2 linked regions of the Oryctolagus cuniculus genome follow. The protein of the gene in region 1 purifies or fractionates together with the protein of each later gene. This does not show direct contact. Links are inferred from orthologs where the notes say so. Each region holds a gene or a part of one and is shown on either strand. Other genes may lie near its edges.

The links. Proteins that work in one complex are often made in the same cells at the same time.
Region 2: the proteins of FBXL5 (region 1) and CIAO2B purify together in Homo sapiens (affinity purification with mass spectrometry; 3 studies listed by BioGRID and IntAct, counting the BioPlex papers as one, with this or other methods). This does not show direct contact. The link is inferred for Oryctolagus cuniculus from reciprocal best matches to the Homo sapiens genes FBXL5 and CIAO2B.

Annotation. Positions count from the first base shown.
Region 1 is NC_091433.1:10,675,097-10,678,742, reverse strand, and holds part of FBXL5 (F-box/LRR-repeat protein 5), read left to right. Parts: intron 1-2,317; coding exon 2,318-2,500; intron 2,501-3,646.
Region 2 is NC_091449.1:49,765,053-49,768,798, forward strand, and holds CIAO2B (cytosolic iron-sulfur assembly component 2B), read right to left. Parts: upstream 2,113-3,746; 5' UTR 1,768-2,112; coding exon 1,626-1,767; intron 1,472-1,625; coding exon 1,392-1,471; intron 1,158-1,391; coding exon 1,032-1,157; intron 674-1,031; coding exon 628-673; intron 297-627; coding exon 199-296; 3' UTR 62-198; downstream 1-61.

The DNA.
Region 1 (3,646 bases):
ACATTGTGTAATGTCCAATCTGTGTAGTTTCTGTTTTATAATTTAGTGTTGTCTATGATTTATCATCTCATATACTTGGGTCATAAACGGTATAGTGTTTCTTGAATGAATTTATATATGCAAACAATATATATTTTGTTTTTGACAGGCAGAGTGGACAGTGAGAGAGAGAGACAGAGAGAAAGGTCTTCCTTTTGTCGTTGGTTCACCCTCCAATGGCTACCGCGGCCGCCTGATCCAAAGGCAGGAGCCAGGTGCTTCTCCTGGTATCCCATGTGGGTGCAGGGCCCAAGGACTTGGGCCATCCTCCACTGCACTCCCTGGCCACAGCAGAGAGCTGGCCTGGAAGAGGGGCAACCGGGACAGAATCCGGTGCCCCGACTGGGGTTCCGACTGGGACTAGAACCCGGTGTGCCAGCGCTGCAAGGCGGAGGATTAGCCTATTGAGCCGCAGCGCTGGCTTGCAAACAATATTAATAATATTTGGCCAACCAAAGTTATTGAAAACCACCATGAACAGAGCACTTTTATAGTGTAATCCAACATTATGGATTCCATGGATCATAGTGGCTTTTTTTTTCTTTTTTTCATTGATTTTCTAAATCATTCATATGGATGGTCCCCAATTTAAAATTGTTCAGTTAATGATTTTTTTTGACTATATGATGGTGCAGAAGTGGAAGGCATATTGTACTTCACGTTTTTTGTTTTGGTTTCTTCCCAGGCTGGCAGTATTTGGTATGATACTCTCTAGTGATGCTGGGCAGTGGCAGCCATAGCTTCCAGTCAGCCATGCAAGTCACAAAGGCAAAAGCTGACACAGCACAATGTATTGTGCAGCTAAGCTATGATATTTGGTAGATTAGGTGAATTAAATACATTTTCAACTTTCAGTAGGTTTACTGTGCTCTAACCTCATCATAAGTCAAGGAGCAAACTACTTATATTTCTACCCTTTTTCATGTATCATTCTGTATGTTTATATCCAGTAGTACTCAAGGGAGTGAGTATGACAAAGCTTTTCTGTATACAGTTACTTTGAAAGTATACCTGCTTTTTTTTTCATAGCAGACTACCTCTTTATTTTTTATTCTTATTTATCTTTAATAGTTTTGCCCTTTAAGACATAATTAAAGAAACAGTTGGCATTCTCAGGTTTGTAAAAATTTCCTTACTTCCTGATGGGTGGTAGCAATGGTTTTCCTGTTAAAATAGACTACAATTTTTTAAAATTAGTCCTTTATTCTTGTTTTTATATAATAAAGTAGGTTAAACTCATGTTGAAACAAAAATATTGTAAGTTAAGCTGTAATTAGGCCCATAAAGTTTGTATACTTTACTCTGAAATGCAGCTTGTGCCTCATATACCAAGCTAAGATCTGTTAGATCTGGTTTAATTGTAATTATAACATGAGATTTAAAAGCATCACACTTAATTATGTTTAATTTTCTTCTTCAAAGCAAATTATAGCTGTGTTATGTTTAAAATATTTGGCATTTTAAAAGTGGTAGTCTAAAGCAATTTGATCATCCTATTTCTATATTTAAGTCGTTTTGTGAAGACATGATATACAAGATTCTTAAATTCTTTGTAGTAGAATTTAGTATACATCTTTTATTTAGTACTGTATTTTCATTTGCTTTCAAAAAATTGCTGCTGAAATAATACATTGTAAGAAATACATCTAATGACTTAGTTTCTCTGGTAGTTGCTGACAAGAGTCCCTTTCATTGTATACCAGCATCAGAACTATTTATATTGTATCAACTAGTATATAACTTAGGTAAGTTATGTATAGGTTAATGAAGTTAGATACCACAGACCTTCTATATGAAATAAGAAAATTAAAAAGGGAACATGTGGAAAGTCCTAACAGGAGTCATAATGCCTGAATAGAACATATGAGATTTGTGGGTGTCATTAAAATGCCTTGGAGATCTCATAATCTGGCCTACTATATACTTACTGATTTAAAGCTGTGTAACCTGTTTGGTTCCTTTTCCAAATGATGCTACTTATGCTACAAAGTGAGTATTGTTTTTGCTGTAATGCTTTTGTAAGAGGAAGTCAAATGTGTATTCATTATTGTAGCTCCCACTGGTGGAGTATGATTTGGGCTATGATAGTTTAACCCTACAGGTTCTTAACAATTTTAACATCCTCATGGGACCTGTAAAACATGTTACTTCCTGTTCACATCTTGCAAGCAGGAAGGAATTAACTCCAGGTACTGGATTTTATTTATAGAAATGTGGTTGTAATTTCTTGTTGCGTTCTTAAAGCCTTTACTGATAATTTTTTTCTTTTTTATTTCAGAAGCAGAAGTATCAGAACACTCCACAGGTATAACCCATCTTCCTCCTGAGGTAATGCTGTCAATTTTCAGTTATCTTAATCCTCAGGAACTATGTCGATGCAGTCAAGTAAGCACGAAATGGTCTCAGCTGGCAAAAACCGGATCACTTTGGAAACATCTTTACCCTGTTCATTGGGCAAGAGGTATGTTAATGGGACTTTTAAATTTTTTTAAAAAATACTATGATGTATTTTTCTAGGTGAATACTTGCAGTCATTAGTAAGCAGAATCAGGAAAGAAAACTGAGAGGTTGACTAAAAAGTGGATTTCATTGTTAGGTGATGAATTCTTGGTATACATTTTTGAAAAGCTAATAATGGTAAAATGTTCATGGCTAAATTATATGGTGTCTGCAGTTTCCTTCAAAATAACTAGGAAAAATAGTCTGGGGAGGAAATGCAAAGATTGACAAAATGTTGATAAATGTTCATGATAGGTAATGGGGTACATGGAGATTCATTGTATTAGTTCTTTCTATATTTGACTATGTTTAGAATTTTTCATAAAACTTTTAAAATTGATTTTCAGAACAGTTAAGTAAATTATTTGAGATCTTTTTTTAAAAAAAGATTTATTTATTTATTTGAAAGAATTAGAGAGGGAGAAAGATCTACCATCTACTGGTTCACTCCCCAAATGGACCCAGTGGCCAGGCCTGGGCCAGACTGAAGCCAGGAGCCAAGAGCTCCATCCTGATCTCCCATGTGGGTACAAGGGCCCAAGCACATGGGCCATCCTCTGCTGCTTTCCCAGGCACACTAGCAGGGAGCTGGCCCGGAAGTGGAGCATCTGGGACTCAAACTGGTACCTATTTGGGATGCTGGCACTGTATACAGTGACTTCACCCTCTTGTGCTACAGTGACAGCCCTTTGAATATCTTAAAAATAGAGAATTCTATGAAATTTTAAGATGAGGTACCATTATGGCTTATCTTGGTGGTGAATCAAAATAATCTATTTTTGTCTATAACATTTTTTGTGATGGGTAATTTCTCATATCACAAACTCATTAATTTCATTGTAGTGTGTTACTTACACATGTGAATAGTTAAAGAACATTTTCTTTTCATGAGCATATTTTACAACCATGGATTCTCATAGCTCATGGCATCTCCTGTCACTGAATTAAAAGTGTTTTCTAGGTGAATATTAACTTAAAAATTTACATTAACTTTTTTATAGTTCTCCATTTTGTGAGATTTTAACATGGAAATATTTTTTTAAAAAAGGTTTGTTTGTTTATTTATTTTAAAGGCAGAGTTAAAGGGAGGGAGGGACAGAGATCTTTC
Region 2 (3,746 bases), on another chromosome or scaffold:
CCATCACTGTCCCTTCCCAAAGTCCAAAAGAGTCCATCACAATGAAAGATGCCAAGGCATGTTGGGAAACGAATATAAATTAAGGGTTTATTACAAAATGCAAAACATTAGCTTCTCACTGTCAGTAACTGAACAAACGGCTGTGCACTCTGCACGGAGCTGGGGGCAGACGTGGTAAGTCGGGGCCGGCAGCCAGGCTCAGGAGCGAGCTGACAGGCACTGATTGACAACCTCCAGCAGGTGCGTGTTCTCCAGCGCGGCCGCCACCCGCTCCTTATCGGCAAGCTGCTTGTTCACTGTGGGAGGGAGGGAGGGAGGGAGTGGGAAGGTGGGTCAGAGCGTCAGGCGCGCTCACCTCTGGGACCGGGTATAGGCTGCGTCCCCATCAACAAGGCGCCTCCTTCCCGGGTCCCCAACCTCCTGAGCTCACATCTACTCTGCCCTCTTGGGATCCCTCCCACCTGGCTGCCCCTGCTAGCCCAGCGCTGGCCTGGGCCACCACTTTCACTGAGAGGTCTCTGGCAACTGCATTCCTGCGATCTCACCCTCAAAGCCACCGTGGCGAGGGGAAAGCCTCACGCGGGCTGGGGCCCCAGGCTGCCGCCCGCGCTGCCAGCCCCCACTTACCCGCGTGCTCAGAGGCATGGGTCCCTGGAGTAATGTGCACGTCCATCTGGGAAGGAGACAACCGGAGCCTGAACACCCACGCAGCTCCCACCCTTCTGCCCCGCCCCCACGGCCCTCCAGCCGACCCTTCCTCCTAATCATAGCTCTGGGTCCCGGTCCTTCTGTTAAAGCCGAATCTCACCCACAGCCACTCCGAAGAACTGGTCACCCACTGCTGACTCAGAGGCCCACTGGCCAGACCTTTCACAGCTGTCTACTGCGCTGGCCGCCACACTCCACACGTCTGTGAGATCCTTCCAGGCCCCACCCCGAGGTCTTGTCCATGTTCACGCCCTTTTGTGCCCCTTCCTCCAGTTACAGACCCTGGCGCCTGTCTCACCGCAGGGGACTCGGATGCCACTGACCTTGAAACGCTGGGGAAGGGACCGCAGAAGCTTGACCTTGATGGACAGGCCAATAAGGGTGGCCATGCTGCAGTGCGGAATAGTGGGGGTGAAGGCCACAGCCACTGTGCTCTCGGGGTCGCTGACCTGTTGTGGGAGGGAGATGTGGAGGGAGGGGGGGGTCACACCCGGCCCCAGGCCAGACACGCTCTTTTCAGTTTGTTACTCTGCACACGGCGTCCGAATTCTCTGGGCCTCGGCTTCATCATCCACACAATGGGCACAACTACCCTCTCTCCCATGTGTCCGTGGCCGCTGGTGCCCAGCTGGGGCTCTCCGGCTCTCTCAAGCCGCCCTTCTCCGAGGCTGCGAGTGACTCACCTGAACCCGGACTTGCTCTACTACGTTCAACTCCTCCAGGGTCAGCGGATGCTCCGGATCATTGATGGAGCGAATAAGATGTGGCAAGTGAAGGAAAAGGACCCCGTGTCGCCGCCCTCTGCCAGGGACGCCCGGCCCCGACACGGCTCCAAAGGTTGCTGCACATCACTCCCCCATCCCCACCGCCCGCCCCAGGCCCCCGCGACCCCGCCCGCTCCCTGCAGCGGCGGATATCGAAGATCTCGCGTGCGTCAATGCTATCCGGAACCTGCTCGTCCTCCTCCCCCGCCGTCACCGGCCGCTCCCCTGAGCGCTCGTAGATGAGGGGGTTAGCGTTCTCCAGGAGGCCGCCCCCCATGCCGCCACCCCCCACCATCGCGGGACTACTGCGCCAAGCCCCAGTCGGCGCGCGCTTCCGTTTCTACCCGCGCACTTCCGGGGAACAGGAAGGGGGCGTGGCGCGGCGACGGGGTCGCGCGAGGGACACGCCGCGCTGCCGTTGCCCGACCTGGCGTTTGAGAGAGGCTGCGGTTTCAGAGTGCCGGGTTCTTGGACCCGGGAAAATGCTGATCGCTCTCGCAGTGGCGCCCTGAGGGGACCCCGGCGGTGCTGGCTGTCCGAGCCCCTGCAGAGCTGGAATGAATGTAGAGGTCAAAGCCAGTTCTAGGAAAGCTAAAGGCGGTCCGAGGTGGAGCCCGGCGCCACCTTCTCGGGGCTGTCACACTGGGGGCTCGCTCCCGTAGCCAGGCCGGGCCGCTCCTGCTTTGGCAAGGTTCTTGGTGTTTCCGGAAACCCCCAGGAGACGCACCTGCCTCTCCGCTGCATCATAAAACCAGTAGTGCCCAGAGTTCCGTAGAAAGCTTTGCAAAGTGAATAAACGAGGGGAACGCGATCTGGTGGGAGAGGGGGACGCGGACAACCCCCGGGGTGGGTCCTTAGGAAGTGCCACGGCCACAGGTGCGTTTCACACTTGATCTTAGCCGAAAGGCCAAGAAGCAATCACACGGGCGTTTCAAAAGGAACGAAAGCCCTGGCGAAGCAGGGAGCGCACCCGCGGAAACCCCCAGACCGTGGGCGGCAAGGGGACGGGGACCCAGTCGGCGGCCAGTCCTGAGGCAAGGTGCTTTCCGGAGAGGCACGGTTACCACCCCTGCCCCCTCTGCTCCAGCTGCAAATGGGGCCCATTTCCCATTTGTGGGGATTTTAATCAAGCACCTCCTCCCAGAAGGCCTCTTGGGTCCTCCAGTTACAGCTTCATCCACCGCAGGCTCGCACCTGGGTCTTCGGTGCTCCTAAGGGTTTGGGGGTTAGGGTTGGGCCCCCAGCTGCATTTACTCCACGTTCTCTGGGAGTGAGAACTGAAAGCAGAGCTACAGATAAAGTGCAAGACTGGGAGCAGGATTTACTTAAACAGATTAAAGAGATAGTACACAATTAGAGGTGGATGCGAGCAGCCTCAGAAGAAAGAATTGCCCCTATCCCAGCTTGGGAGCCCCCTTTACCAGTAGAGGGTGGTGCCCTAATTGAATATACAAATAGGGTGGAGCGTAGGCGGGGCTCGGGACTCCTGAGGTCTCTGGGAGGGTTCTGGGGCAGCTCAGCAAACTTACTCTGTATCTTCAGCGGGATGAGGAGGCTCAGGTGCACCACGGCAAGCTGGGTGTGTGGACTGGCACGAAAGAAGTGGGCCTCTTAGTGGAGCAGGGCAAAGGCAGAAATTGCTGGAAGGCCCTCAGCTGCTTTAAGTCCACATCACAAGGTCAGTGAACTAAGGGACTCCAAGATCAACCTGGAGGCTCCCTGGTACCGAAGCCAGGGCAGAGGGGAGAGGGCTATGCCACACCTGCTGGCTCCTGGGTCCCCCTGCGACCTCTGCTGACACTGACCCGGCCTGCTGCCTGCCAGCACCAAACTCCCCCCTGGAGGAGGCCGGATCTGCACAGTGGCATCTAGGGAACAGCAGAGCTAAGCGGAGCTGCCTCTGACCCTGCTTTGGCTTCGACTCGTCTGGCGGCCTGGGGCTCCTACTTCTTTTTGGCAGGGGCCAGGGTGAGGCTCCATGGGCAGCGACAGGGACCTGGCTCAGACCTGCCCGATTCTGCAGTTACAGCCGAGACGCAGGAAGCTGTGGATGTGAGAGCTGGTGGATGTGACAGCTTGGCCGGATCACCCTAGGCCCGGGGGTGGGGGTGCAGGTGGGGGCCCTGAGCTCAGAGAGGGCTGGGGCTGCCCAAGTCCACCTGACAGCAGAGGAGCAAGCACTGGGATAACAACAGCCTTGGGGCGATGGAGGGAGTTGGGACCTGGGGACGCCTTGCACTGCTTGGGCCTGGAGCTGGCTCTGTGCCCCTGGAA